Linked DNA regions of Ovis aries. The protein of the gene in region 2 binds, or shares a complex with, the protein of the main gene of each other region. Links are inferred from orthologs where the notes say so. Each region holds a gene or a part of one and is shown on either strand. Other genes may lie near its edges.

Region 1 (16,044 bases), on a different chromosome or scaffold from region 2:
AAGAGTTTTCACATACAGTATTTTACGGTTGAAAACATTTAGAAATGAAAGACACCCAACAGTTCATTAAATCTAAACCCCACATTTTAAACATGAGCAATCTAAATACAGGCTTCAGTGATACAGTCAGAAACAAAACTGGCTCAAATATCTTGGAAAGAAAAAAACAGAACAGAAAAGTAAAGCAGTGCTAACAGTGGTGAAACCTGGAGACAGACCTTTAAAAAATTCCACTTAAACTAAAACAGAGTAAAAAAAAAAATTGTAATTCAACTGAATACTGTTATGATTTTACACAAAAATAGCCAGTGAAGACCACTGGATATAATGAGATCTTACAATGCTCTCTAGAAAGTACAGCTTCCAAGTGTTAGCCCTCAAATTCTTCCACTTTGAAAAAAAATTGAGTATATTCATACTAGTCACACTCTTTAAATTCCCAAACACATTTACCTTGCCCACTATTGTTCAAAATTTTATAGATCGGTCCTTATGGACCTGAATTCATCTGTGATCATTTTTATGTTTTGTTTGGTTATTTTCTCCACTGATTTTTTTTTTTTTCTGGCTTTCTGAAACTGTTGTAATGTGAGCAAGATACTGTATTAAAGAGGTGAAAATAACATTTAATTTTCCTATCGTAAATGATCACTTATCTATACATCATCTCATCTGAACTAAAAAAATAATAGCATAAGATCAAGAAAGCAGTTCTTAGCTCCATTATACAGATATAAACAATACAATATTTGTTTATATAAATAATTGTTTATAATATATAAACAATTCAGAGAAGTTATATTTCCAGAAAACAAGGAATAGATGGTAGCGCTGGGCCATGCATTAAGGTTTTCTTACTCTAAATCTGTATTCATATCATATTAGACTGTTCAGATCCGGTATTATAAAGATTAAAAGCTGTATTTAAGGTAATTAAAACATACCTGTATTAGCATTGCTGCTGGCTATGAAACTCACTACCAAAGGTAAACGATTGAATTGAACCACCTAAAAAGAGAACAAGATCTAAAGTATAATGTTATATAGTGAAAAAGTGGTATAATTCAAATCAAATATCTTAATCTTTCTAAAAACTTTAAATGTGTAAGATACTAGCTTGACATCATGGTATTACGTCATGAAAGGTGAAAGAGCTGAAAATAAGTATTTCCGTAAAACAGACTTACTAATTATCTCTTAGAGACATTAATATCACTTAGTCTGGAAAGTTTCTAAGGTGGGGCTGTGTCTTCCTCATCTTTTTTTATCTTCTAAAGCCCTGCAAAGTGTCAATTACATAGTAGGGGCTCAATAAATATTTGATAATTAAGGAGCTAAAGGCATTATTTCTCAGTCATTCAAGTGGTTATAACGTCTCAATCTTTTGCCTCCTCTGTACCACTATAATTTAAATTAACTTACATTTAAGTTAACTTAAAATCAGCTATCTTTTTAAAAAATTTAGCTTCAACCTAACCTTTACTGACTAAATTAAAGGTCAGATGAGCTGGTTATCTTCTGCCTAATAGATACTAAAATACATAACCTTTAAAATAAAAAGTAACACATATGTATCATTGGTAGTGCATGACTTACACCCTGGGAAACTCTGCTCTATGGAAAGCAGTGTATGCTCAATTGCTCAATACTGGAGTGAGTTGCCATGTCCTACTCCAGGGGATCTTCCCGACCCAGGAACTGAAACAGTGTCTCTCATGTCTCCTGCACTGGCAGGCAGATTCTTTACTACTGTGAAGAAGTTACTGATTCATTCTAAAGAAAATACAGCTGGCGATCAAGAGATCTGTAGCAACTAATTTCTCTCCCACAAATAATAACCTCATTTATTTTATATATTTATATAATCAAGCCAAAAGATGGGATTAGTAGCAATAACAAATGTAAATAACTATCGTTTGACTTTCAAGGAAAATCCTGTATCTGTCACAACAACAACCACTGTGTCATTTGAGAAATCACAGTTGTTAAATAAGCTAAGGGCACCATCTACTGGAGGTATTAATAACAGTGACCTGACTTACCCTTTTGAGGATAATATATATTTTACTATTCAATCTTTTAATCTAATTGTTCATATTAATTCCTGAAGTAAAATGTGAAAAAAAATCACTACAGTTTAACATAACCAATTTGAAGGTGAAGATGTTAAAATTCCATCACTTTGGAAACCAAAATTTAGAATTATTAAAACAAACTATTCTACAAAGAAGAGAGAATAATAGTTGAAATCATCAGCAAACCATTTGATAATTATGAACTTACCTGGTAGGTGTTATAGTAACAGATGATACTTTTATTTTTTGAAAGTCCGAGTTTGCTCCCTTGGTCTGTCGCAAGGGCAAAAGTTGATAAGAAACCAGGTCTCAAAGCATGCTCTGGAGCATTATCATTGGCCACTGGAAATACAAGTGATTTAAGTAAAAATTATGTAGGATATACAGCGAGAAGACATTTAGAGTATTTAAAAAAAAAAAAACACATAAACTTGTAGAAAAAAAAAGCACAAGAGTTACGCTTCACAATGCTGAAGTTCATAATACTAATTGGGTCTCATCAGTTTAGGTGAGAAAAACCATTCAATCACAACTAAGGGAAAAAATACTGGTTCTCACAATTTTTCAAAAAATTTCAAATGAATACTAACCATCTCTATCTTCTTAATATCTAACTTAAAACAGGTTATGATTATCAGTACAATTAATAAGTTGAATATTCTGGTTAACTATGAGCTAAGTGAGAATATTGGAAAAAAGCTTTTAACCTTTGCTCTTACAAAACCCACAGAAGCATCATTTGTAGATGATGATAATTCTACACCTGGCCACTGATTTAAGTTTTTTATACTCACTGAAAGGTCTATGTGGAGTTGGTTGTACCGTAAGTGCTGAGCTTAAGGTTTTAACAGAGATCCTCAAAAAGAACACTGGAGCTGGAAAATCTGAGATTATTTTGTTCAAAGTCCTCGTTATGGAACTGAGAAAAGGAAGTGATTTGCCCATGGCTACCTATGTTCTGTGCTGGGTTAGGAAGCATACTGGATCACATATCAGAAGATGATGGGTTCTATGACCATCTTGTCACTGACTCATGAGCAACTTGGAGCTGACAATCTACTCTTTGCACTTGACCATTTTCATTAATAAAATGAAAGAACTATATTAGCTAACTTCTAAACTTTGATTGAATTCTAAAGTCTGAAATTATCTGACATATATGATAACCTCAGGTGGAGAATATATTGTAAACAAAATATGCAGAACATTATTTAGCCTTTCTGTCATATCACATATACTTAAAAAAAAAAAAAAGAGTTAAACCCTTAGGCAAAAAGAAACCTTTTCTTCCTTTTTTTTAGGTTAACCAACTTTTCTTCAAGCAAAAATTTTTGCTAGATTCTGGTTAACTAAAGTAACTGTGAAGTTAAAAGTTTTTCAAAATCTTATTTCCAATAAGGAAGAATAAGAAAGAGTAAACAAAACAATAAATTTATGTTAATTCAAATGTATGGCTGTTTATCCTAAAACCACCAGCAATACTGATGAAAAATATATGCTGGGGGAGTCCGTGGGTATAATATGTCTCGCTGCATATATGCTCATTCTCATGATTCAGATTTACTAGTTGTTTACATTATACATAAAATGTCTTTAATGGGAAACTGGGCCTTCAATAAATCCTTACTTAAACTCTGCATCCTATCATGAAATAGTTGAGATATAATTAGATTCCAACCTATCCTTCAACACACAACCTGAATGTACTGAAATGGGTTATTTTTTGCTTGCTTTCTCTATTACCCAAATATAAACACATTTGTATTCAAAAGCAAACATGGCACTGACATGTAATTGTGGCGTTTTACCTTTGATGACAGGCACTCCATCTCTATCTGACACAACAATAGCATGGAGCCCCTCAACACTAGAAAGGAAAAGTTGATGTATTATAAAACACTGTCTCAAAATATGTACCTTCAAAATCATAATGATAATTCTCATATAGATTTCTGAAAAACCATGAGAACTCAATCACGGATATAAGCTCCTATAACATGTTTGCAAAACTCTTCCACCATAAGAAGCAAAAAAGAGACCCAGTTGCTGCCTTCCCACAACTTGCAATCTAAAAGGAGAGTGGCTATCGTTCAGATTACCTCACACAAATCTAACACTACAACTGTGAGAACTGCCATTAAGAGATGTGTGGGGCTACGAGAGAGCTTATAAAAGGAGGGGTAGATTCAGATAGATGGGTCAGGGAGGGCTTCCCGGAGGAAGTGGTACCTCAGCTGAGACGTTATGGTAATAAGAAAAGTGGAGTGGGGAGATCACTGTAAGCTGAGAGAACAGGACAGAAAGAATGGAGGTCACAGGGCAATCCTCTGAACCACGCTTACACAAGAAGGAAACAGAATGGTCAAGACCACAGCTCTGAAGTAAGAAAGACCTGAGTTCCCGTTCAGGCTCTGGTGTTTACTGTTTATGCTACCTTGCATCAATTACAAAACCTCGCTAAGCCTCAGTTAATATGAAAATGGGGATACTTGTACTCATTTGTGTGTGTAAGTCATTTCAGTCGTGTTCAACTCTCTGTGATCCCATGGATTGTAGCCCGCCAGGCTCCTCCGTCCATGGGATTCTCCAGGCAAGAATACTGGACTGGGTTCCCATGCCCTCCTCCAGGGGATCTTCCCGACCCAGGGTCTCCTGCATTGCAGGCAGATTCTTTACTGCTGAGCCTTTGGCTACTGTTAAATTTAATACAATGATGCATGCAAAGTGGAAGGTGGCTGGTAGACAATTAAAATTCAAAAATATGAATTAATACCAATGTTGTCATCTGTACACACTGAAAATAACATAATTTGTCCCTGCAATTTAAATATGAAATTATTAGTGAGAATTCCTAGAGCCCCGAAATGTTAAAAATTATAATGGGGAAACACTCAAATCATCATCATTTATACTGGGCTTCCACATGGTGCAGTGGTAAAGAATCTGCCTGCTAATGCAGGCGACACTGCCACAGTCACCCCAATCTTTAGCAACCACTTCCCAGACTGGTCAGCAGCCATCAATACTGAGGCAAGATCCTCCACCAGCAATAACATTAAGACTCATTAAAGGCTCAGATGATGGTTAGCACTTTCTAGCAATAAGGTATTTTTTACCTAACGATGTACACTGTTTTTTTAGACATCATGTTATTACACACTTAACAAACTACAGTAGAGTGTAAACATAACGTTTATATGCAATAGGAAACAGAAAAAATTGTGACTCGCTTTATCTCAATATTCACTTTACTGCAGTGGTCTGGAACCAAACCCACAATCTCTCTGAGGAATGCCTGTATCTTAAAATATCTGCAAAATGCAATGTTTGTTGTTCCTACTATATCCCCAAATAAATGGATGGTTGTTATTAGCTTAGGAAAGAGAAGTATTAGCTTAATATTTTAGCTTAGGAATGAGAAGTATCACTATTAACTTAATGGGCAGGTGCATAGAGTATCTCTGACAGTTAACAGTGGGTGTCTCTGAGACAGGAATCGTGTGGCTGGATGACAGGGTTAAGAAACTCCTCACTCTGTGTCCTTCAATTAACTTTTGCATCTTGAACTTTATAAATATATTGCCTACTCAAAACGTGGCAGTGTTAGTCGCAAAGTTGTATTCAACTCTCTGTGACTCCATGGGCTGTAGCCGTGAAGTGGTAGGCATTTCCTTCTCCAAAGGATCTTTCTGACCCAGGGATTGAACCTGAGTCTCCTGCACTGCAAAAAATTGTCAATCACTATACTGTGTACCCCCATGTAGGCGCAGCAATTAAGTCTTAAAAGCAGTATGAAAGATAAAGGCAAGTTCCTAGGTTTTTTAATCTAGCAAACTGCTATGAAAGAACTCTAAAGTGGCAAGAAACTGGGTTCTAGCTCTTCACCATTCACCAGCTGTTTAATTTGAGACAAGTCATGTAACTTCTCTAGGGATCATGTTGTTTATCTGCAAACTCAAACCGTATCACTTGTGCTACCTAAGATTATGTTAGCCATTTGAAAGTGCTAAATAACAGCAGAACATAGTATTAGTCTAAGATAAACAGAAACAAAATACTAAACAAAACACGTTAAGCAGAATTTATCTAATAACAAATTAGTAATTTTTACCTCGGTAATTTTTTATACAGGAATCGTTTTAGATCCTGAAAGAGAGTATACACATTTTATTATAATAATATGCCTGGTACTGGTTCTCTAGACACTGTCCTATCCACATCTCAGGTACCTTAAGTATTCATTCACAACCATTCGTGCTTGTGTTTTGTCTTTCTCGTTTTGCTTTTGATGCTTTAAGGAGTGGTGTAACTTGCAACAACTAATCTTTGCTTCTAAGCCTCAGTTGCATTATTTGCTGAGTAAGCATAATTAAAGAACCTACATTATAAGACTGTTACTAAAGTTTATTGAAAACACTCATGTCAAGTGATTAGCATATCCAGCAGTGGAAACACAAATACATATTAGCTATAGCATTAGATCATACTTCTCACACTACTGTACATCTTGTTGCTAACTTTGCATTCATTTCAGAATATATTATGAATATTTTTCCACATCCACAGACTTCTTAACGTCACTTTAAGATCCGAGGTAAGTTGAGTAACCTCGTGAAACTCAGTTTTCTTACATGACTAAAGACACATGACAAAGTGTGTCAAGCATTTAGCATGGAACATAATTATGACTAAAAAAATTATAAGACTACTTTGTCTCATTATACTCTCTCATCTGGGGAATTTCACTGACAGTCCAGGTAGCAATCATGAGTTCTACATAGGTAAATCAGATACATGTTCTTTTGACCCTCTAATTCCTACTACTCTCCAAACCTGAATGTTCATTTTAGTTCATGCTATCACCACCAGCTTACCTTTGCTCTCATCTTAAACACGAAATCACAAAACCCATCATTTTTCATCCAAAATCTAGATTTCCTCAATCTCTTCCTGTGTCCACTAATGGCACTACTGTTCCCTGTTACTTAGCTTTGAAACTTAAGGTAATATAATAACCCTAAACTCCCATGTGTCACTTTAAAAACCACTTGTGAAGTCAAGTATTTTTAAACTGATGTTCTCCTCTCCTTTTCGGATGACATTACAATTTAGGTTCATTTTAATATTTATGACTTACACCAGCCTCCCAATTGGTGTGATGGTCTATCACTTCTATCTCACACATGTCTACACAAAGCCAATAATCATATAATTCTCCTTCTCTAAATGGACAATTGCAGTGACTCTCAACCCTGGCTATGGACAACACTTGCAGAGTATAAAAAGAACTTTGACGTCTGTATTGGAAATGCTCCCCAGAGCATTCCCCATGCAGCCAAGATCAAGAACCAATGTTTGAATGGCTCTCCACTGTTTACCGAATTGTGGACGGATCCTGGAGATATCTGAGGCTCTCTACAATATGGATGGGCTACAACACATTTTATAGTCCTGCTTCCTACCACTCGCTCATACACTTCCTCAGCTCCAGATGAAATGGGCTATTCACAGCTCTGCAACACACATCTTTCTGTTTCCTATCTTTAACTTTGCTCATGCTTTCATTCTAACTATTAATAGTAATACCCTCTAGATCTTACTTTTAAAAAAAAATGCTACTCATCAATTAGAGCTAATCTCAACCACCAAATACTCCAAACAGGCTTCCCTGATAAAGACAAACTGATGTAATCCCTCTCTTCTCTGAATTTTCACACAATAATGTATGCATAGCTATGATCACTTGCCTATTGTACTTTTTTTTTAACCTTTAAAAATCCTTAAGGAGAGAAATTATACCTTAGTTATCTTTATTTCTCCCACAGCCCTTATTAGAACAATCTTTTCAAGGGAGATGCTCAAAAGAATTCAGTGATTTGATTAAGCCTGGAGAATAAGGCCTCAAAAATATACTGGAAGACACCCAAAAATGGAGTGATAAAGACATAAAAAGTTGCTAAATGTTGAAACACATAATCCTGCAACCTAAAAGAAAAATCAGATTCATACTGTTGAATAATCATTTAGTGTAGTTAAGAACATGGATTCTGGAGTCTGCATGGGTTGGTATCCTGACTCAGCAACAAACTAGCTGTGTAATCTGAGGAAGTTACTAGATCTTTCTGTGACTTAGCATCTTCATCTATAAACACAGTGATTAACAGTGCATATCTCATGAAAGTTATTGCAATAATTAAATGAGTATCTGTTCAATGTTCCAAAGAATATTTAGTGTATATATAAACAAAATGTGTGTGTTAGTTGCTTAGTGGTGTCGGACTCTTTGCAACCCCACAGACTGCAGCCCATCAGGTCCCTCTGTCCATGGGATTTTCCGGGCAAGAACACTGGAATGGGTTGCCATTTCCTTCTCCAAAAGGAATTATAGAAAGAAAGTGAAGTCGCTCAGTCGTGTCTGACTCTTTGTGACCCCATGGACTGTAGCCTACCAGGCTCCCCCATCCATGGAATTTTCCAGGCAAGAGTACTGGAGTGGGTTGCCATTTCCTTCTCCAATATAAACAAAATAACAGTATGTAAAAATATAACAGTATGTAAAATATAAACAAATATAAACATTAATAATATTAATTCCCTGTTGTTTCCAGAAACTAGTACAATAAAGTTTCCTAAATTTAGAATTTTAATTGTATTGCTGTGTTAAAAAGGCAATGGTTATAAATCATCTGAAATTGCTACAGTGAACCCAAAGAGACTTAACTGGAAAAGGATTCAGAGCAGCAAATCATCATTTAGAAACTGAAATGGTAAATATGCAGAATCTGTCTTATGCCCGCAGAACTGGGGCGTAGGAAAAATAAAATTGTCTCAACCTCAGGCACCTTTAAGTGTCTTCCACCCCCATTCCAGGCAGAAACTCAGGGCCCCGAAAATTACTCCTATTAGTCTCTGACTTCAGATCCTAGACAAAGTAATTGGAGGGAAGCGGTAAAACGAAACAAATTTGTATTTGGGAAGCGCTCTCTCCCCACCCAGTAGTCTCAACCTACTCTCCACTCTCTCCTTCCTCTTATATGGGGGTGTTAACTCACATCCGCCATGATGAACCCCTTTCTCCCGCAGGATCAATCTCCACGCCTGAAAGAGAAACTCCGGGTGACTCTCCCCTCAAGACTTCCTCTCCCTCCCCACCCCCAACCTAATAAGCAGTGTCAGCTCTCCGCTGGGTCAGGCAAGGATCCACGGCTCCAGGGCTCCAGCCAAGGAGGCTGATTGGAGTCGGAATTCCCAAATACTCAGCCGGGTAACCGAGATGCCTGACAGCCCACTAACCCCCAAAATCCAAGCCCAAACGGGAGGCGAAAGCGGCATCTTCTCTTCCGTCTCACCACCCGTGCCACTTGCGGCCTATGCCACCGGGCAAAGTGGCTGCAGTTACCTGGGTTTCTGGGTTGCCTGTTTCTCTGAACTGCCACTTCAGGGACAACTTCTGGGACAGGTTCCTCTAAAAGCCGCAGTCACATGATTTGTGACCTCTTCTGTGCTCCCGGAAGCACTTCTCAAGACACCGTCGCTAGGTGACTAGGGATTTCCGGGGCGGTACTTCGACAAGGGAGCGCGCATTTGCGCGATAAGCCCCGGTCCACTCACCGCGGGTTCCTTTTGCATCTGTGAGGAGTTCAGGCTGTCCCAGACCTCTGCACTTGAATAGAGATTGCTTTGCTTTGAGATCCCGGAACCCTGAAGATTCCCAGAAAACGCAAGCAAGAAAACGTATTTGTTTGAGGCGGGTGCATAAATTTCATTATTTTTTTCTTGTGGTCCGTTATCTTAAAACCTCTTCTTGTAGATGAATACATTTAAAGGGGGTGGTGTTACATACTGAACAGCAAGCCCCAGGTCCGTCGGTCTCTGATCGTAATTTATTAATCTTTTGGCTTCCCGTGGGAGCTACCCTCGTACTGTGACTTGTCTGGATTGAATCAAGGATCCTTGAGCTTTCTGGAGATCTCCTCTGTGCGTACATCAAGCTTTTACATATGCAGACATGGAGCAACCTTCTTTCATTGGCTCTTTATTCAGAAGACCATACTTTTTTAAAAAATTTAAATTTATTTTAATTGAAGGCTAATTGCTTTATAATATTGTATTGGTTTTGCCATACATCAACATGAATCCGCCACGGGTGTACCCCTATTACCAATCCTGACCGCCCCCCCCACCGCTACTATACCTCTGGGTCATCCCAGCGCACCAGCCCCAAGCATCCTGTATCCTGCATCGAACCTAGACTGGCGATTCGTTTCTTATATGATATTATACATGTTTCAATGCCATTCTCCCAAATCATCCCACCCTCTCCCTCTCCCACAGAGTCCGAAAGACTGTTCTATATATCTGTGTCTCTTCTGCTGTCTCACATACAGGATTATCATTACCATCTTTCTAAATTCCATATATATGTGTTCATATACCGTATTGGTGTTTTTCTTTCTGGCTTACTACACTCTATAATCGATTCCAGTTTCATCCACCTCATTAGAACTGATTCAAATGTATTCTTTTTAATGGCTGAGTAATATTCCATTGTGTATATGTACCACAGCTTTCTTATCCTTCATCTGCTGATGGACATCTAGGTTGCTTCCATGTCCTGGCTATTATAAACAGTGCTGCGATGAACATTGGGGTACACGTGTGAAGAAGACCGTACTTTTAAGAACTGTCTATAATTTTTTATTTGGTGCATTGCTTGTTTGCACATTGCACATTGCACATTGGTAGGAAAATGAGGTCTAGGGGAACTTCTTTTCCACAGATCATCAAGTTCAGTTCAGTTGCTTAGTCCTGTCCCAGTCTTTGTGACCCCATTGACTTCAGCACGCCAGGCTTCCCTGTCCACCAATTCCCAGAACTTGCTCAAACTCCTGTCCATTGAGTCAGTGGTGCCATCCAACCATCGCATCCTGTGTCATCCCCTTCTCCTCCTGCCTTCAGTCTTCCCCAGCATCAAGTCTTTTCTAATAAGTCACCTTCACATCAGGTGGCCAAAGTATTTATTGGAGCTTCAGCATCAGTGTCAACCCTTCCAATGAAAATTCAGGGTTGATGGATTGACTGGTTTGAGCTCCTTGAAATCCAAGGGATCCCTGAAAATAGAAGTGCAAAAGGAACCAGCTATAGACCAAGGTGTGGTGGAAAGATACTAATTTGCTAGTTACCCTTAGGAGGTTGAAATGGTAAGTTACAAAGCACCTAGATGTTACAAATGATCTCCTTGTCATTATAAGAGAACTTGACAGTTCCATAGCAACTGACATTGAAGACCACTTCCTTTTCCTTTGATTTCTTAGCCTCTAGAACACTGCACTTATTTTAGTTCCTCACTCAGCCTCCTCACTGTTAAAGTTTGTCTTCGAGTCTTCTGCTGTTTTTCTTTCCACAGTATCCTGAGAATGTGATTCCTAAACCTGCACCTTTCCTCTGAGCTCAAGGTTCATATTTTCAGCTGCTTGTTGGATATTGGATATTTCTACATACCTCTGTCAGTTCTAACCCAAAGGTACTAAAAAACTCCAGTAAACCTGTTTCCTGATCTATGTCCTTGTTGGTTCCATGATTCTGTCAGGTATCATGTTTGCTTCTCCTTTCTCATGTCCTTTTCTCAACAACGATTTTTTACATCTATATTTTTTTCAGCTCTTCATTCAACCCTTACTGTATTCAGCAAGACTATATCAGTAGCCACTTAAGGAAGCCCAGTTAAACCTTTCTAAAACAATGTATATTATTTCTGACCAAAGAAATCTTTAGTGACACACCATTGCAGACAATGCTTGACATAGTCTTTAATCATTTCATTTTACTTGTAAATGCAATCTAATGTGAATCCTATTTTTCAGCCAAATTGATTATATCACCCTTCCATCAAAATGACTCTTATTATCTCAGGTAGTTGTGGGGGTTCCTGAATCTGAAATGTTTATTTCTCCTGTAGGAGAGGAAAAACTTCCTTACACCTGATTAGATTCTGTGGCTGGGGCCAACAATGAAATTGACAGACAGATTGACAGGATCAAAACATACAAATTCATTTACTATTTTTACATGTACATGAGAGTCTTCAGAAGAAAAATGAAGATCCAAAACTTCATTAGGCCCGAAAATTTATATGCCATTTTACACAAAGAACAATAAACTGTGAGGATGAGACAAAACAAGGGGCTTAGGTTAACAGCAGTAAATTGTATGACGGTGACTATTAAACATATGGAATAAACTAATGGAAGATAAGGGTTATTTTAGTAGGTTTGTTTATACAGGTCCATTTCAGTGTCAGTCCCATCTCTGGTGCTAAGAATGTTCTTCTCTTCCTGGTAGAAGGAGGGCGCATTTCTCATGGGAAGTTTTACGACAAGCCTTTAAGTGAAGATGGGAGGTCAGAGAGCCTTTCATGCATTTGCTGTGGCATATTTCAGGGTGGCATGTTCTAAACCCTTTCATTTTCTACCTTAGCTATTTAAATCTTGTTACCTTATAACACCTCATCCATCACATTCTCTTGAATGTTCCTATATATTACCAAGAAGAAATGATATTTATTTGTACATAATTATGTGTTATAGCTTTAATTTGCTTATCCAATGAGACCATAAAGTCTAGGAGGGGTCATGGTTTCAATTTTTTTTTTTCAGTTTCTTACAATGCTTGTTTCTTGCACTCTGTAGGTACGCATTCAACATTTGTAGAATGAAAGTGATTACGAGAAGTCATTAGTCTTGACCCTGACTAAAACTCATTTTTCATTTCCCCACTGTTTCTCCCCTCCGTTTGCCCCTAAGTTTGGAGTCAAATAAAAATATGAACTCTATCAAGACTTCTAATTTCTGGAAGCATTAGTTTTCATTTTAACAAAATTATCCATCTTAATGACATTATTACATACTAGTTGACCTGGAAAACATTGCTGATTTTTTTCTTCCTCTTGAGTGACAAAAAGGGAAAGCACAGCTTTCCAAGATCTTCAGATACCAAATACCACCACTAACGTCTGCAAATTGAAAAATCTAGTAAGATTTTTAATTTCCAAGCATGGTGGTTTCTAAATTATGGCATGTCAGTAGAGCTCCTTATGTACTCAGACTGATCTGTTTGCATTTACCCATGCATTTACCCATCAATAACACTGCTGTTGGTCCAGGACTAGGGGAAATATTTACTGACCTAAAAGATTATCAGCAGGATATGCCAGTTTTCCAAAGTGGGATGTAACAGATGATTGCTGAGGTTCAGAAAGAAACAGACATTGTATGCATGCCTCTGCACATAAAATTTTTACCTCATTATACAAATTTGCTATTTTGCATAATAGTACAGGAAATAGTTAACAAACACATGCTCTGACTGTTATATCAGAGCCTTTGTTTCTGCTGCTCTTTAGCTTAAATTTCTCTCAGCTGTTGAATACAGCTTAAAAATTTTTTTTCTTTAATTCTCAATTTTTAAAAAAATTCTGGTTTCCTATCAAAAAATAAACAATCATCTGAATTTAGGTTGGTTCCACTGGCTGTGTAAAAATTCTAGCTGGTATGCAAACTCAAACGGGAAGGAGAGGCTTGCTGATTCTCTAATATACAAAAATAAAAATTTTATAACTTACACTGGCCGAGTTGTAAAATGTCTTATAAATTTTGCTTCTGCCTGTGGTTTAGAATTTAGTCTGTGGAAAATACAATCTAAGATCTATACAATAACTTTCTCTACTGTACTATCACCCATTGTTGTCACACATCAGTCACTTCAGAAATCACTAATTCCCTTGATCTCTGGCTTACATCTAATAGTGCAATTACTCACTTGTCAACATCTTAGACACCCCTGCCATCTTTCCTGCCTGACATAACCTCAAATTTAGATGAACTAAATAAGTGTATTCTCCACATTTATGCCAAGGCTGCTGAGTTAAGCTGGAAAAAATATACAACATTTAACAGACTGTAAATTCTGTCACTAGTTTGGTAGCCACAGAAATCATCCTTTTCACTAGTCAGCTGACTGAGAATGATTTCTTCAAACTGTCTTCATTCTAAGTGTCTGCTTATCATCCTTTCCATTCCCCAATTTTACATAAATTGCTTATTGCATTAAGAAAATACAAGCCATAACATCGAGCCACTAATGCTACAAATCTGCTTTTGTACTCATCTTCTGTATATTCCTTTCTGAAAGAATGCTGGTGGTGTCACATAGCTAAAATAATTATTCCATCTTTGCAATGGCTCCAACATCCTCTGGAGTATCAGGTACTTAATGCTATTATCCTTCTTTTTCTCTATCTTTATTCTTTCACTCTGTACTTGCCCCTTTCCATCAGAGTACAAAGAATTAGTAAGGTTTCTCATGTAATAGTAAGTCTTCATGTAATAAATAGTAATTGAAAAAATAAAAGCCTTCTTAGAAACCACATCTTCTTCCAGCTACCACCCTTTTTCTCTACTTCTGTTCACAGCCAGATTTTTACAAAGTTTTTAAATTGCTGCCTCTATCCCAAATCTAATCAATCAAATAATTCTCTTGATTCTACCTCCTATCTCAAAATCAATCACTATATATATATTTCTACTCTGGTGCAAGCCATCATCATCTCTCCCTGACAATACTTCCTATCATTCCTACATTCACTTTTACCCTCCAGTCTTCTCTGCACAGCAACTAAAATGTTATTTCAAAAACACAAATCTCATCATATTAACCCCTTCATTAAAAGTCTCAAAGGTTTTCTTTGAACACACACACACACACACACACACACACACACACACACACACACACACACACAGAGCCTCATGGGATTTGGCCCTTAATTCTCTAACTTGGTCTCGCTCCCTAGGTCATAATCTTACAAGTTTGTTTTCACTTCTGTAAAGTTTCTATGACCTTATCGACTCAGCACACTCTGCCTGAAATACTTATCCAGCATTCACCTCACTCTGACTTATCTCATCTTATGGGTTTCAGCTTAAACTCACTTTCTCAGAGAAAACTTCCCTAATCTCCCAGAGTAAAGTCTTCTAGATACATGCTTTCATTGTACCTTGAAATTTTCTTTGTAGCATTTATCATGCGTAGTTATTTACTTGACATTTATTTCCCTTGCTAGATGTAAACTTCATGAGGATTTTGGTCTTGTTCAGTGATTAATTCCCACATTACGTCCTGGGTCATAGCAAATATTCATACGTTTGTTGACTGGTTGAATGAATGAAAGAAAAGTCATAGTAAGAATATAAAACATGATAAGAACAAATCCTTTACAGTGAGAACAGACCTTCTTTTTATTCATATATTGAGATAAACTGCAAAGACTGAAAGACAAAAATTCATCATAAATCATTCAGAACATTCATTAAAAATCAAGTGTATTTTCTTTAACAGAGTTCTCACACAGAAAATTTCATTTTATGTAAGTCTGATACAACATTAAATATTTTACAAATCAGACATTTCATTTTTAAATCTAACTATAATTTTGAATGCACTATAGACAAAGAAGATCTTTACCAATTTCACTTCATTTAACTTATACAAGGCTTCCATTAAAATTCCATCACACCTTGAAAATTACCTGCAGCTTTTAAAAAAACACATGATCTAAACTTTATATGGAAAGAAAATTCTTATGTAGCAATCCAAAAACTGAGAAAAACAAAAAAGGTAAGAAGCATTTCTTAATACAAATAAATTACAAAAATGCCATTTATGTGTGAGTTTCTTTCTTTTCACTGATAACTGTCATCCACCCAGAGTCCAAAACAATTCATTTTAAAATTGATGCTTAAAATACTCCAATGTCACTGAAAAATCTATTATTTTAGTGGTACTATTAAATGGCAAAGTAGGATATCAGATTAGAATGTCCAAACTCCTATACTAAAGTGAATGAGACATTCACATTCATGCCAGATGTCATCTGTTATGCATTACCAGTTTGGCAATAAATAATCCCAAT
Region 2 (16,086 bases):
TTCAGAGAAGGCTATGGCATCCCACTCCAGTACTCTGGCCTGGAAAATCCCATGGACGGAGGAGCCTGGTGGGCTGCAGTCCATGGGGTCTCTAAGAGTCGGACACGACTGAGCAACTTCCCTTTCACTTTTCACTTTCATGCAGGAAATGGCAACCCACTCCAGTGTTCTTGCCTGGAGAATCCCAGGGACGGGGGAGCCTGGTGGGCTGCCGTCTATAGGGTCACACAGAGTCAGACAAAGTGACTTAGCAGCAGCAGCAGCACTGAAATATTTGGGGGTGGAACATCGTGATGTCTGAAATTCACTCAAAAATACTTAAGCACATGCAAATAAAGTAAAGAATAACATGTTTATATGCTGATGGGAATGTGATGAAAAGAAGGCTGTTGAAAGGAAAGATGATTTAGGAGGAAGAGGGAGAAACTGGCTGAGTGATGTTCTTGAGTAGGCACAAGGGGATAAGGTGTAGAGATGAAGTCGCAGATGGGAGTGTGGAAAGTTATTGCTTCATTTTGTTCAAGAAAGTAGGTTAGGTCATCAGCTGAGTGTGGGGATGCAGAAGGTTTCAAGAGAGAGGAGAAATACAGGGGCACCGGGGCGGTGGCTCAAACTTCAGTGCACGTCAGAATCACCTGGAGGACTTTTTGAAACAGACTGAGCTCCTCCCCGTGTATGCGGGCTCAGTCGATCAGTCATGTCCAACTCTTTGCGACCCCCTGGACTGTAGCTCACCGGATACTAGAGTGGGTTCCCATCTCCTCCTCCAGGGGATCTTCCAGACCCAGGAATGGAACTTGCATCTCCTGCATTGATTGGCAGGATTCTCTTACCATGAATCACCTGGGAAGCTTCAGCTCCTCCTGATTCTGGCGGTCCTGACTCCAGGATTCCTGGTTCTGTAGGTTTGGGGTGGGCCCTGAGAAGCTGTATATCTAACAAGCCGCAGGTGAGGCTGACGCTGCCGGCCTGGGGATCACATTCTGAGAACCACTGTGATTACTGTGCAGCAGTAGGGCCCCCTGAGGTTTGTGGTCAGACTCTAGAGTGAGAACAGTCAGTGAGAAAGTTCAGACAACTTTTTCTCCAAGTGTGTTCCGATGCACAGGTGCAGTTGCAAAAGAGGCAGAGGGCTGAATGAACCAGAGATGATCACCAAGATCATCACAGAGCTGGCTGCTTCTTATCCGAATGCATGTGTGTGCTTGGTCACTCAGTCGAGTCTGACTCTTTGTGACCCCACGGACTGTAGCTCTCCAGGCTCCTATGTCCATGGGGATTCTCCAGGTGAGAACACTGGAGTGGGTTGCCATGCCCTTCTCCAGGGGATCTTCTCAACCCAGGGATCGAACCCAGGTCTCCTGCACTGCAGATGGATTCTTTACCGTCTGAGCTACCAGGAAAGCCCTCTTATCTCTGGGCCCAGCCCAGATGAAACTGCTTCAGAAGCATCTTTCCTGACCATCTAATCTGACTATCTTCCTCCTCCTCACCATCTTGCACTTTCACATTATTTTTTTTCTTGCAGAAAAATTTTCATTCTTCAGAATCTTATGTATATTTATTTTGTTACCTGTTTCTGAGTCTTTTCACTGGAGTGTGTGCACCATAACACAGGAATCTTTTGTTGTTGTTGGTCACTGCTATGTTCCTAGAACCTAGAAGAATGCCTGGACACCACAGGTGCTATTTACTCATGAAAAGTAGAAAGGAAGGAAGGGAGAGAGGAAAAAAGAGAGAGAGCCAAGGAAACACAAGAAACTAAATGACAGTATTTGTTTTGACTACGAAGAGGAAAATACTTATATAATTATAAAATATAAACACAGATTACTATGTCTAAGAGGCTGGGATGGTTAGATAGCATCACTGACTCAATGGACATGAATTTGAATTTGCAAACTCTGGGAGATAATAGAGGTCAGAGGAGCCTGGCATGCTGCAGTCCATGCAGGTTGCAAAGAGTCAGATACAACTTAGCAACTGAACAATAACAACACAAAATTAATGTAAATACATTAGAAAGATGGGAAGGAGGAGCTAGCTAGTTGCATCTTCTTTTCCTGAAGACAATGCTTCCCAAATTCCCTGTTTGGACCACGAGTCGGCTGTGGTCATTGGAACTTGGGCAGTGAAGATGCACACCATTTTCATGCCTGGCATCAAAACATCTCATGCAACCTTTTGTTCTCTGTCTCTGTCTCTCTCAGCTCACCAGTGTGCTGAGTGCGGAGGACCCAGTAGTGACCTCTGGGGAGACCCAAGGGGACAGTGGAGTTGCAGGATGAAAGGGACCTGGGTTCCCATGTGGCAGCTTGCAGGACAGCAGTGTAAAAGCCTGTTCCCAGACACTAGCGGGACTTCAGGTGAGTTGGAAATAAACTTTACTTGTGTCAAACAGCCACTGAAATTCCAGGGCTATTTTTATTACTGAGAAAAATAGAAATGTCAAAAGGTGATTTACTAGGAATTACTAGTGTTTTCATTTATGTTCAATCAGGAGAAAAAGAAATCACATGTTAATCTGAACAGGGAAAGTTAATGTAAAGAATTATTAACTGTAACAGTGTTCTGAAGAACACTGGTGAGTTCTGGAGTAATTCTTAACCTTACTAATTCACTCTAAAGTGATATCCCTTCTGCTATGTATTCCATCCACTGAGTATTCTTAAAGAATATTTCCATTTGCAAGCTCGCTAATGGGTTCTCTGTAGGGTGTAAAGAATGCAAAGTAACATACATGTTAATCAAAATAAAATTGACTCCAGGAGGGATCTAAGTGTCTGTTCCCACATGGCAACAAAACAGCAGGAAAAAGTGGAATGAAGAAACACTGGTTGGCACTGCACTCCCCCACCTGACATCAGTAGGGCAAGGTGTGGACCTGAACTTGCACCTTCATCTGAAGGCAACAAGGCCATGAGAACTGGTGCTCCACTTACACCAGGGTGGCACTGGCAGAGCCCAAAGGGATGACACATAGCATTTGTAATATACACAGTTTAATTTTTCAAAAATGTAAATACATATAAAAAAATAATATCCTGTGAGTGCTCACTGAGCTTCTTGACAGTGAGTTCCTTGAAGATGAGGACCTAGTGCACCTTTGAAATTCCGGGGTCTACCTCAATACCTAGCACATTGCTACCTACAAAACTTTTTTCCTATATGCCAAATTGTAATTTATTAATTGCCAAGGATAAATATGTTTCCAAGACTTACAAAGGTGTGTATAATTTGGGGCACCATTTTCTTGATTTTAAATAAGGCCATTCCTTTAGTTAGGGCTTGGAGAATTGAACAGTTTCCATTTAAGCATTCACCTCTAGATCCCCAGAATCTATGCTGAGTTGCAAATTAAATGATTTTTTTCCTACATTGTCCTGGCTTTTCTCCCAGGACTTCCTTCTAGTTTTTAGTTTTTATTTTGGCCTCTGGATCTCTAACTCTGCTCTTGCCCTTCTTTTGAAAAGGAGGGAACAAATCCTGACGTGTAAAATAACATATTTTCATCCATCCCAGAGGCAGAGCTGGCCTGCTCCTTCCTGTCTGAGTCCGTTGCCAAAAGATCACAATACCCCCCCACCCCTCAGCCTAGCAGAGCCTCCTGACTGGAAACCACGCATTCTTTTATTCACCCTTAACTCAACCCCTCCCAGTGCACACGGCTTGTCCCAGAGGACTGAAGGGGCTCATCTCTCAAGTGTTACTCTTACTACACTTCACGTGACTCCGCGCCTGCCTTGTTCACTTGCAAGCTGAGCACTCACAGCTCAGGGCTGTGTGTTTTCACCATTTTATTCCCAAAGCACATGATGCTTACCCTGTAGTCCTTGAAAAGTGCTGGTTGAACTGGTGTCATCAGGGTGAAGAGAACCGAGAAAGGCAGAGTTGATGGCTGTTTGATAGGGTAATAATTGGTTCTAGGAAAATAAGAGAAAAGGAGGTTGTGTGTGACAGGCAAGGAGGTCTAGTTTCAAAGCAAACGACGACTCCCCAAAATCAGAATCAAACAGAAAAAGAATGCAAAGGGAGGCAGCAAAGATGCCAAACCCACAGGAACCAGCCATAAGTTAACCACTGTGTTAGTCAGCGTTCTCAAGAGAATAAGGGGATGGGTTTGGTGGGAGAGAGCATATTTAATTTGAGGAATTAGCTCACAATATGTGGGGACTGGTAAGTCTTGAATCTGTAGGCTAGGCCAGCAGACTGGAAATTCAGGGAAGGGCTGATGTTGCAGTTTTGAGTCTGAAATCTGCTGGGCAACAGGCTGGAACTCAGCAGTGTTTCTGTACTCATGCAAATAGTTACTATGGTGCCTGGGCAGGGTGGGCAGTTTCAATCAGTGTGCTTCCCCTAATATTTCTATGTAATTAAATTCTTGATGAGAATTTCTTCTTCTCCAGAAACCTCAGTCTTTTCTCTTAAGACCTTCCGTGGATTGGATGAAGGCCATCCACATCATGGAAGCTAATGTGCTTTATTCAAAACTGAATATTTTTCCTACCTTAAAAGCACCTTCACAGTGTAGGGGAGGCATTTTTTTTTTAACCTCTACCCTCTTAGGGTTTTCAGCTGGGCCTGAGAATTAACTTGACAGAAGACAGATTAGCAGGAGAAAAGCATACAAATTTACTCAATACAAGTTTTATATGACATGGGAGCCCTCACAAGGAAATGAAGACCCAATGAAATGGACGAATCTACGTGCTTTTTATAGCAGGTAGAAGAAAAAGAGGCAACTGAGGAAAAGTGACTAAGCTGTGGGGAGCCTAAGGAAAGATAGAAATTATTTCAATAAGGTCTGTTTTAGAGAATTCTCTAGCTCTAAGTCCTGTAAATGGAACTCTGCTCTGCATAGCATTTCTCACTGGTCAATATACTTATTTTCTTATTTATTAATTTATTATCTGGGCTCACCCTCTGCCCCACGGCTCCTTGAAAACAATTTAAAAAAATGTCTTATTTGTATTCACTGCTATTATCTCTAGTTTCAAGAACAGTGTGTGGTACATAGAAGGCACTCAATAAACACTGGTTGAATGAAAGACTTTGCTCCCTTCATAAGTAGCATGTTTCAAGCTGTTTGTGAAAATGAAACAATTCTAGCAATGGCTGCTGAGCATTGTCCTGTGAAAGGTTCCTCTGTGTCAAGAACAATGAGAACCGGCAATTTCTGAGGTAAAATCAAGTGTAACTTCAAAAAAAAAAAAAGTTGGCCAGGGGAGCAATGGAAAAAGCATCAGCCTCAGCAACAGCAGACTTAGACTGGAATCTGGCTGTCATTTGCCAGCTGTGTGCTATGAGCAAGGCTCAATCTCTCTCAAGTTTCCACTTCCTCATCTATATAGTATCTTGGGATATTATTACAAAGATGGTTAATGAGGGTTTGGCCAGTGTATAGATGAAAATGCTTGGAACCAGTGTGTGCTGAGAAAAAAAAAAAAGATTCCACAAGGCCACGGAAGGTTTTGCAGACCAAGCATCTCCACAGAACTTTCTCTCTCTAAATCCCCTTCCAATTTAAATTTTATATTATAATCATACCTGATTTGTAAAAAGGCATCCATCTTCTCTAACTGGTTTTCTCCTCAAGCAACAGCACTTAATTTTATTGATATGATTCACATACTGTAAAATTCACCCTTTTAAACTGTACAATTCAGTGGTTTTCATTACATCCACAAGGTTGTGAAACCATCATAACTCTGTAATTCCAAGACATTTTCATCATCCAACACACCTGTTGGCAGTCACTCCCCATTTCCCCCTCTGCTCACCCCCCGGCAACCACTAATTTGCTTTCTGTCTCTATGAATTTGCCCAGTGTAGACATCTCACAGATACACCCAGATGATATGTGGCCTGGATTGTCTGAGTTCCTTCACTTCAGGTCAGTTCAGTTCAGTCGCTCAGTTGTGTCCGACTCTTTGCGACCCCATGAGTTGCAGCACGCGAGGCCTCCCTGTCCATCACCAACTCCCGGAGTTCACTCAGACTCAAGTCTATCGAGTCAGTGATGCCATCCAGCCATCTCATTCTCTGTCATCCCCTTCTCCTCCTGCCCCCAGTCCCTCCAGGCATCAGAGTCTTTTCCAATGAGTCAACTCTTCTCATGAGGTGTCCAAAGTACTGGAGTTTCAGCTTCAGCATCATTCCTTCCAAAGAAATCCCAGGGCTGATCTCGTTCAGATTGGACTGGTTGGATCTCCTTGCAGTCCAAGGGACTCTCAAGAGTCTTCTCCAACACCACAGTTCAAACGCATCAATTCTTCGGCGCTCAGCCTTCTTCACAGTCCAACTCTCACACCCATACATGACCACTGGAAAAACCATAGCCTTGACTAGACAGACCTTTGTTGGCAAAGTAATGTCTCTGCTTTTGAATATGCTATCTAGGTTGGTCATAGCTTTTCTTCCAAGGAGTAAGCATCTTTTAATTTCATGGCTGCAGTCACCATCTGCAGTGATTTTGGAGCCCCCCAAAATAAAGTCTGACACTGTTTCCACTGTTTCCCCATCTACTTGCCATGAAGTGATGCGACCAGATGCCATGATCTTTGTTTTCTGAATGTTGAGCTTTAAGCCAACTTTTTCATGCCATGATCTTCGTTTTCTCAATGTTGAGCTTTAAGCCAACTTTTTCACTCTCCACTTTCACTTTCATCAAGAGGCTTTTTAGTTCCTCTTCACTTTCTGCCATAAGGGTGGTGTCATCTGCATATCTGAGGTTATTGATATTTCTCCTGGCAATCTTGATTGCAGCTTGTGCTTCTTCCAGCCCAGCGTGTCTCATGACGTACCCTGCATAGAAGTTAAATAAGCAGGGTGACAATATACAGCCTTGACGTACTCCTTTTCCTATTTGGAATCAGTCTGTTGTTCCATGTCCAGTTCTAACTGTTGATTCCTGACCTGCATATAGGTTTCTTAAGAGGCAGGTCGGGTGGTCTGGTATTCCCATCTTTTCAGAATTTTCCACAGTTCATTGTGATCCACACAGTCAGCGGCTTTGGCATAGTCAATAAAGCAGAAACAGATGTTTTTCTGGAACTCTCTTGCTTTTTCGATGATCCAGTGGATGTTGGTAATTTGATCTCTGGTTCACTTAGCATGTTTTCAAGGTTTATCTGTGTGATAGCATAGATCAGTACTTCACTCCTTTTTACAACTGGACAATGTTCCATTGTATGGATATGCCGCATTGCTTTATCTGGTCTTCAGTTTATGAATATTTGGGTTGCTTTCCATTTGGGGGCGATTATGAGTGATGCTGCCATAACATCTGTGTACAAGTTTTTGTGTAAACATAGTTTTCAGTTCTCTTAGGTATGTATGAAGGAGTGGAATTTTTAGGTCCTATTTAACTTTCATTTATAAATATAGTAACTCTATTTAACTTTCAGAGGAACCACCAATCTGTTTCCCACTACAACTGCACTATTTTACATCCCTACCAGCAATGTATGAGAGCCCCAATGTCTCCAAATCCTCATCAAGCTTTTTTATTAGTTTATCATCATTTTGCCTCACATTAATATTGCAGCAGGTCTAAAAACTACTTAAATTAAAACAAAAAATTTCTAAATGACACTCATATATTTAAAAAATTACCCCAAGGTCATTTTCTAATTATTCCTGGCAGAGAATATTCAGTATTGCAGCTGCCTTGGCTGCTGCTGCTGCTGCTAAGTCGCTTCAGTCCTGTCCGACTCTGCGACCCATAGACGGCAGCCCACCAGGCTTCCCCGTCCCTGGGATTCTCCAGGCAAGAAGACTGGAGTAGGTTGCCATTTCCTTCTCCAATGCATGAAAGTGAAAAGTGAGAGTGAAGTCGCTCAGTCGTGTCCGACCGTTAGCGCCCCATGGACTAGGGAGGTATAATGCTCTATCACACAGTTTCTTACAGAATCCCGGGACGAAAAATCGCTTTGGAACAAATTCCTGTCAGAGAGCTGCCTGAAGTAGGCACAAGAGTAGCATCTGAATAGCTCTCTATCTACGTCTTTTGGCTCGCTCAGGATTCCACTTGCGAGCCACCTAGCCTTGTTGGAGTCTGCCCCCGCCGCCCCCGTGTGCGCAGGCGCAAACTCTCAGCCCGGCCTCCCTCCGGCCCCGCCTCCAGACCCGCCCCCCGCCGACACGCCCCCCTCCTTCGCGCTCTGGGGCTAAGGGGAAGGGAGATGAATGTTCAAGAGGATGTGCGGCCAATGCGCGAGCGTCTCGGAAGCGGCGCTCCGCACTGGCAGAGTAAGTCTGATGACGTAGCCACTCTCCAATCGGCATCCTGGGGGCGGGACTAAAGTCGGGCAGGGCAGGGCCGGAGGAGGAGACCGCTGGGTGGAAGCACGTGACCGCGGTCTGGAGCCGGAACTAGGTCTGGCTACAAGCTCCCCCAGCACCTAGAGCTGCGATGGTAAGTGAGGACGCATGCGCGGAGTTACGCGCCGCGCCGGCGGTTCCTTACCCCTGTCCCCCAATCTCTTTGGTTGCGGGGTCCTGAGCGTGCCCTCCGGCCTCACCTCCTATTCTCCCTGGGACTGGAAGGAAATGGAGAAGGGAGGGGTGGTGACGTAGAAGGCCAAGGAGAAGTCGCTGGGAGGGTGTGTAGAAGCTGGGGACTAGTCTGAGGGGGAGGCGCAGGCCACAGGTGCGTTTGGGGAGGGGGCCCTTGGGGTAGCAAAGGTGACGTGTGGAAAGCTGGTGGCGCCCGGGCGGAGGAGAGGACTGACGGAGGCTCAGGAGCATCAGTGTTGAAGGCCGTGTAGAGGGAAGAGGGTCTGGAAGGGCCCTGGCTGGGTAAAGAGGCCTGGAGCGGGGGCAGGGGGCACTGTCAAGAGAGGCACTCTGGTTGCCCAAGGGCCATCCTTTCGGCCTACTGCTCACTAATTGCATCTTTACCCACCAGACTTCGGCACTGACTCAGGGGCTGGAGCGAATCCCCGACCAGCTTGGCTACCTGGTGCTGAGTGAAGGCGCGGTGCTGGCGGTGCGTTCTGGAAACGGGAGGGGGGGTGCTCCAAGTACACATGACTCTAGGATGCCTTCTAATGTTGCCCTGTTTGGCCCGATTGGTCTCTGTTCTTGTCTTTCCCTGGTATCACGCCTGGCGTGTAGGAATTAAATCAATTAATCAATCTCTGGACTCTCAGTCTTGTAACTATCCTGAGGTAAAAGAGGTTTACTGACTTTACCAAAGTCAAGCAAGTTACAGGTTTGTTGATAACTGACAATCCCCAAGTTACTCTTGAGTATGTCTTTATTTGGTATTTATTGAAGAGGCTTGGTATTTTGTTCTGTAGTACAATACAGTGTCAGCTCTAGAAGTTTTCAATCTAGCTAGAGACAAGGCTTAAGGCTAAAAGTTCAAAGTAGTGCATGTGGTTAACGCAGCTGAAGGAGTCCAGAAAGTGAAGGATTCAGCCCTTCATACTATAACTTGTGTTTTGGCAAGGAACCTTCCTTGGACGAGGTAAGAATTCATCTGGGCTTAAAAGATGGATGGATGACAGGAAAGAAAGAATATTCAGAGTTGGGAGGTGGACATTTTGCAGGAGTGTAACACCAGCCTATCTGAATTGGTGATGGGGTTATGTTGAAAAGATTTGGAAACATTTGGGGGAAGAAGAGGATATGGTGAGGAAAGGTCCGATTGTGAAGGACTTTCAAGGCTAGGTTAACACATTTGGATTAATCTTGAAGGGTTTTTGAACAGAAACAAGCTGATGAAGTGATTGAGTAGCATTGTTCTGTTAGGCGTAAAGGTAAGACAGAAGGGGCAGGATTCAAAAGCGGGGATGCTGTTGCCAAAATGTAGGTATGAAACCTCTGGTTGCAATGAGAAGCAAGGAGAGAAGGGGTTTTTAAAGGAAGAATTGGTTTGTCTTTGTAATGACTAGAGTTCAGTAATAAAGGGGATACTTTTCTATCCTGTAAGACTTTGACCTCAAGCCTAGAATGATGGTGCCTTAACCAGCAGGGACTTAAGAAAGGAAGTTGACTGGAGAGGGGGAGAGATAGGGGGGATTTTGATAGTGCAGCTTTAAACACTAAGTTTGATATAGAATAATAGGGTAAACTCCAGGAGTTAGTGATGGACAGGGAGGCCTGGCATGCTGCGGTCCATGGGGTTGCAAAGAGTTAGACACAACTGAGCAACTGAACTGAACTGAATAGCCGTTAAATAGATAATGCCAGGAGCTAATCTGAGCATCTTGCCCCAGTACTCTTGTGACACTCACAAGCACGTAAGATAGGTACTGATGTCCCCAGTTTACAGATGAGGAAACAGGTATAGAATCCAGCAGGAGGGCCACCTTGAGGAGGTAAGAAGTTGAGATCATTACCAGAAAAGAGGAAGCCCAGGCCACTGTGACGTCATTATTCAAGGGCCAGGTAGTCCGAAGGGGTTCAGAGAGAAAAGGGATGTTTATGTTTCAGGTTCTGCAGACAGGGTGACAAATGAGAAATGGGAAAAGATGGAGCCTGGGACTCTAGCTGTGGTGGGTGGGCACTAATCTGTAAGAATGTGATTTTTTTCAAATAAGTGGAGACAGGGAGAGAAATGAAGATTCAGGGATTGGGGAAACAGGGTCAGTAATGGACAGAAATGGATGAGAGTTCCTACTTCCTCAGGGAAGCCCAGTATTTTGGAACAAGATGGCATCAAGAGGGGCAACAATATCATAGGAAAGTTTTAAGTTTTTCCAATACTAGGGGTGATGTTGCAGTGTTGGAAAGTGGAGACAGGTTACACAGAAGGGTTCTTGGAGTTGCTTCCCAGTCTGTCCCTGATTCCTGCCCCCCTCCCTCTGTGTGCAGTCATCCGGGGATCTGGAGAATGACGAGCAGGCTGCCAGCGCCATCTCTGAGCTCGTCAGCACGGCCTGCGGTTTCCGGCTGCACCAAGGCATGAGCGTACCCTTCAAGCGTCTGTCGGGTGAGCCCCGGCCTCTGGTAGTGGGGAAGGGGGGTGGGGTGCTGCTCCCCAAGGCCACTCTTCTCAGGGAAAGACACCTGTCTCCTACCAGCTGCCCACCATCTCCTCTGGAATCCTTGTCTTCCCTGTGGTATTTACCCCTGTATCAGAACTATGAGAAAAGCAAGAGAAGGGAGGGGATTTAATGGAGACCTCCCATCTTCTAATCTCTGAGCTTTGACCTGTTGAATTCCTTTGGCTTTGGATCCTAGCCAGTTTGTGTGCGACCCCCACTGAGGCCCCCATAACCCACTAACTCTCTGCTCCCTTCCCTCTCCCGGGCTGGGGGAAGGTGCGTCTCCCCTCCAGTGGTCTTTGGAGAACACACGCTGCTTGTGACCGTGTCGGGACAGAGGGTGTTTGTGGTGAAGAGGCAGAACCGAGGCCGGGAGCCCATTGACGTATGAGCCTGCCCGAGGGCGAGGGGCAGAGGAGGAACCTCTGTGCTGAGAAAGATGGGAACCTCCACGGCCTCTCTCTTGGTGCCACTAGAACTAAAGCTGTCTGCTCACCGGCTTCCCCACCCTGACCTGGAAGGGCAGAGGCTCGGGGACTTTGTACTCTGTTAAGGACAGTGAAGGTGAGGGGACCTCCCTTCTTTTCACCCTGCCTAATAAACATAAGTGTGATGTTCCTGGACCTGGGGATGTGTTGTGTGTATTGGGGGAGGAGAGTCATACCCCATGTGTCTTTCAGCTTCCGGGCCCTCAGCCCAGAGGCGTGGGGTGGACAGATAAAACTGGAAATCAGAAGAAAAAAAACAAGTGGGAAGGGAGCTATTTGGTGTACAGGCTGGAGGGAATCTTTCTGAGCCCTTAGGTCTCTGCCGCTGCCACCAACACACAAGTAACAGTCTTTTTCTCCCTCCTGAACAGGCATTTAATAGTCTTATTTCAGTTGGAAGCAGTAGTTGGAGAATAAGTTACAGGGACAGACAGACCAAAAAAAAAAACAAAACCCAAATCAAAAATCCCACACAACTTAAAGTGCTTCAGGCTGCAGACGTAAACATGAGGACGAGGGGAGGCCACCTAGCTCTCTCCCCTGACCTGAGACAGGAGGGTCGTGTCATTGTTGGGTCCCTTTACCATCACCACCCTCTGATCTCAGCCCTGCGGGTGGGAGGGAGGGAGGGAATGTCAGAGGCGGGGAAGACAACGTAAGAGGAACAAGGAAAACACTTTGTAAACTTAGAACCAGGGTGCAAGGCGGGGGGCAGGGGAGCTCCTGGAGCCACTGCCCTGGCCAAGGGGTGGGGCCAGCCCCCCCAGGAAGTCCAGGAAATACTGTCGGCTTCACACTGCAGCCATCCCCGGCCATTTCACAGCTTCTTCCCTCGTCCCTCATCAGTAGACACAGACAGGCGGCTCTGTGGGGGGCCCCCTCACCCTTGGTGGGAGGCTCCCCGGGGAGGCACAGCCTGCAGGGAGCACCCGCGCTGGGGGCTGTCCATTTCCCGGAGTGTGAGAGGGAGGCGGCCGGATGGTTTACTTGACCGGCTCCACCACCAGGACCTTGCACTCGCGTTTGGCGATCTTGTCCAGAGAGAGCACAGCCTTGTCCGGGGGCAGGTAGAGGGGGCGGCCGACAGGGGAGGCCACAGGGGGAGTGATGGCCCGGCGCTCCATCACACTGCCCGACCTGGAGGAAAGTGGAGGCTGTGGGCTCTGGCCGGACCCCAGGGTCCCGTCCTCTCCCTTCCCGATCCTGGCCTCTACCAAGCCCTCGGGGTCCTCCCCATGCAGTTCCATACCTCATGAGGTGGCTGCGGGAGGGCTGTTGGTGGGAGAAGGACTGAGAGCGGCCGAGGCTGGCCTGGTGCCTCTCCACCAAGTCCCGGACGGCAGGGCTGCTGGGGCTGCTCTTGCGCGAGAGGGGTCGGGCCTCGGGTGGCGGGTGGGACACGCTGGCAGTGAACTGCAGCTTCAGCTTCATGTGCTGGCTCAGCTGGGGTGGGGAGACACAGATCACCGGCCAGCTCGGCTGCCAGGCCCCCGACCCCCTTTCAGGTCATCTTCCCCACGTGACAGGCCGAAGTCAGATCTAAAGCCCACCTTCCCTCCACCCGGCTTTGTAGCACCCACCCATTTATGCTTCAGCATAGAAGCCAGCGGCCCTGACCCCTCCCACCCCGATGCTAGGCCTCACCCAGCCCACCTCGAAGAGCCCAGTCCGCAGAGCCTGGAAGGCCACGCTGAAGGTGAGCGCGCTGCCCTTCCGGGAGAAGCCGAGGTTGTTGAGGGGTGTGTGGCAGACGATGGAGTCCAGGGCTGCCTGCATGGCCCGGCGCTCCTCCTCACACAGCTGCTTTCCTGAGGGGCAGAAACAGGGCCGGGAAACAGCTCTGTGCAGCCTTTCTCAGTCTGCAGAGGGCTTTCATGAGCACAGTCTTGCCTGATGCTCGGAGCCACTCTGTGGAGTAAACTGAGTATATGCTATTGTTTGCTAAACTTTATAAACAACAGTAATAGTTACTGTGTACTGAGATCTATTCTAACCACTTCACACATATTAACTTACTAAATTGCTATAACACCGCCATGAAGTAGTATTTCCTCCATTTTAGAAATGAGAAATCTGAGGTCAGAGAGGTTAAGTAACCTACTAAAGGTCACATAGCTAAGAAATGGGAGATATTCAAGTCAAACAGGGAACCCAGCATCAGTGTCAGTGCCCTTAAAATCTCTGCCCATGGCCTCTCTAAACTCTCCGTTATGACACTGTGGAGACCATCCAGGTACACAGCTGACGCAGCCTGGCACAAGTCACCTGCCTCCATGACATCTTCCTTTGCCCTCTCCTCCTTGGGCAAGCCTGGCAGCTACCTACCAGCCTGGGCGTGCTCCGGGGTCCACACGAGCCTTACAGCAAGGAAGTCTTGGAGATTGTTGAGCAGCGTATAGGTAACAGTGAAACGCTCATAGGTCCGAACAGGGGACTCACAAGAAGCAGTCATCACAAAGCACGGGCGGTCCAGGCGGATGCTGGGCAGGCTAGAAGCCGTGAGAGAGAGGAAAGCAGGATGTGTGTGTTTCGAAACAGAGATGAACAGGATGGTGTCCAGCAGGGAGCTTGGGGGGGTGTCCCACAAACTCACCGGTAGTGGGTATAGATGCTCTGCGTGAAGGGCAACTTCGGTGTGGACCACTGAACCACAGCAATCAGGGGAACCTCTAGGCCCTGTTGGAGGGACAAGCAGAAACATCACCTGTATGTGATGACCTGAAGGAGAGGTTCCCTCTCCCGTTAGTCAACTCCCTGGCCTCTCTCTTCCCATTGCATTTTCTCAGCCTTTCTCCTTAAACACACCAGTCCCTTGTACTCACCTCCTTGGCCCCTGGAGGGGGCTGCTCACCCGCTCTGAGCTGAAACAGGAAGTTATGTTCCTCCAGGGCACTAAGTGGGCAGGGGAAGCAGCCAGAGGTACCAGGGAGCCGGCAGAAGGAGCCCATGGAGACTTCCCCAGATTGGTGACTAGTTGAGAAGAAAGGGACCAGAGCTGAACTTTCCCTGCCAGAGCCCTGGGCCCTGCGACCATGCCCAGCACTCTGCGGCCCCGCCCCTCCCAGGACCTCACCAGACATTGTCCACCAGCAGCACAGAGCCGTCGGGCATGACAGGTAGATAACTGGCATTGAAGTTTGGGAGAATGCGGATATCCCAGACAGAAATTTCCTCCTGGGAGGAGCTGTTCAGCACTGTGGGAGGTAACCAGCTCAGCTAAGAGAATCTGAACTCCTCAGACCACACCAATTCCCCCCCCCTAAAATGGATCTATCCCCACCATATTGTCCAGGGCCACCCAGCCAGTGCCCTTGCTGCCACCCAAGACAGGAGCCTCTAGTCTGCTCACCCTTGAGCACCGTCAAGTGTTTTCCAGCCACAGTGAACTGGCGGCACTTCAGAACCGGAGGGGGCAGCAGAGTCAGCAGGGTGCTCACTGCAGGAGAGGGCGGAGGCTCCAGATGACGGACTGGGCACACCTCACCTCCAACCCACGGGTCCAGTCTTCCTCTCCTCGGATCGGGCACTTGCTGGTGTCACCCCCTCCACCGTCCCCACAAAATTCAGACACTAGCAGGTCCTGTCTGCATTCTCCTCCCCACCTTGGGCCTTGAAAGCGCTCTGCTCGCCCCTGAAGGTCTCCCCAGGAGATCGAGTCTGCAGCAAGCGCAGGTAGCCTTGATCTCTGACCTCTGGTGCCTCAACCTCCCGCTTCCACACGGTTACTACAATCTAAGCACAGGGGACACGGGACCACAGTCAAGAGAAACAGCCTCAGAAAGGGCGTCTCAATTAAGACAGAGCTCCACCCCGTGCCAGCCTTACCTTGGCTTTAGGTGTCCCTGGGGGCAGTCTATCCAGTGAAACGGTGAGTGGGAAGATGACCTCATCTGTGGACACAATTGGTTCCTCCACAGGCAGCTGGGTTGCCAGAGGGGTTGAAGAGGTCAGGAGAGTCAAGGCCGCCCGCCGCGCCCGCGTCCCCTTTAAGACCTACGGTACGTCGTTCTCGCCCTCCCCTCTCCTCATCCGTCATAGGCCTCCAGCTTCCCGCTAGCGTCCCTCTCCCCTCCGATCTTGGGAGCCCAGCAAACCGCCCCTCCGCCCTGTGTCGTGGCGCTCTGGGCTCCTCACCGTGGTCGCTCCCCCTGAGGTAGCAGGGCCCGGGCCGTGGGTGAGGAGGGGGCTGCAGCCTCGAAACAACCCCCCACCGCCAGGGTCCCCGCCCCCCGGGGGTTCGGGATCCTGGTCGCCCGAGCCACCGCCCCCGGGCGCCCCGCCTCCGGCGCTGACCGAGGCCAGGGCGGCCAGGGCGGTCGCCAGTTCCGCCCAGGCCCCTCGGGAGCCCAAGCCTGGGCCGCCCCCGACGCCGGACCCCGCACCGCCCCGGCAGCGCAGCACCAGCAGGAAGCGAACCGTCTCCCCTAGGTAGAGGTGGTTGCGCCGGGGCAGCGCCCGGTACCGGCCCGGGTCCCCCGCCAGCTCCGCGCGCGGCGGCAGCGGCACGGCCGGGAAGTACATCGAGTAGTCGCACTGGGACTCCATGGGCGGCGCGGGCCGGGGGGCGAGGTGGGCCGGGGACGGCGCAGGGCGGAGGGGCCGCT

Evidence for each region.
Region 1: LAMTOR4 (region 2) and LAMTOR3 share a complex: the UniProt entries of both Homo sapiens proteins name them as parts of the ragulator complex. The link is inferred for Ovis aries from reciprocal best matches to the Homo sapiens genes LAMTOR4 and LAMTOR3.

What each region holds. Positions count from the first base shown.
Region 1 is NC_056059.1:25,115,356-25,131,399, reverse strand, and holds the start of LAMTOR3 (ragulator complex protein LAMTOR3), read right to left. Parts: upstream 9,567-16,044; 5' UTR 9,475-9,566; intron 9,174-9,474; 5' UTR 9,137-9,173; coding exon 9,128-9,136; intron 6,222-9,127; coding exon 6,187-6,221; intron 3,943-6,186; coding exon 3,884-3,942; intron 2,418-3,883; coding exon 2,284-2,417; intron 1,009-2,283; coding exon 945-1,008; intron 1-944. UniProt on the Homo sapiens protein: As part of the Ragulator complex it is involved in amino acid sensing and activation of mTORC1, a signaling complex promoting cell growth in response to growth factors, energy levels, and amino acids.
Region 2 is NC_056077.1:36,676,011-36,692,096, reverse strand, and holds LAMTOR4 (ragulator complex protein LAMTOR4), read left to right. Parts: upstream 1-8,358; 5' UTR 8,359-8,413; coding exon 8,414-8,416; intron 8,417-8,908; coding exon 8,909-8,989; intron 8,990-10,821; coding exon 10,822-11,124; 3' UTR 11,125-11,287; coding exon of another isoform or gene 11,288-11,385; 3' UTR 11,386-11,617; downstream 11,618-16,086. Other genes in the region: TRAPPC14 (trafficking protein particle complex subunit 14), read right to left, coding at 12,466-12,619, 12,732-12,925, 13,136-13,290, 13,808-13,971, 14,076-14,158, 14,305-14,452, 14,556-14,676, 14,832-14,918 and 3 more. UniProt on the Homo sapiens protein: As part of the Ragulator complex it is involved in amino acid sensing and activation of mTORC1, a signaling complex promoting cell growth in response to growth factors, energy levels, and amino acids.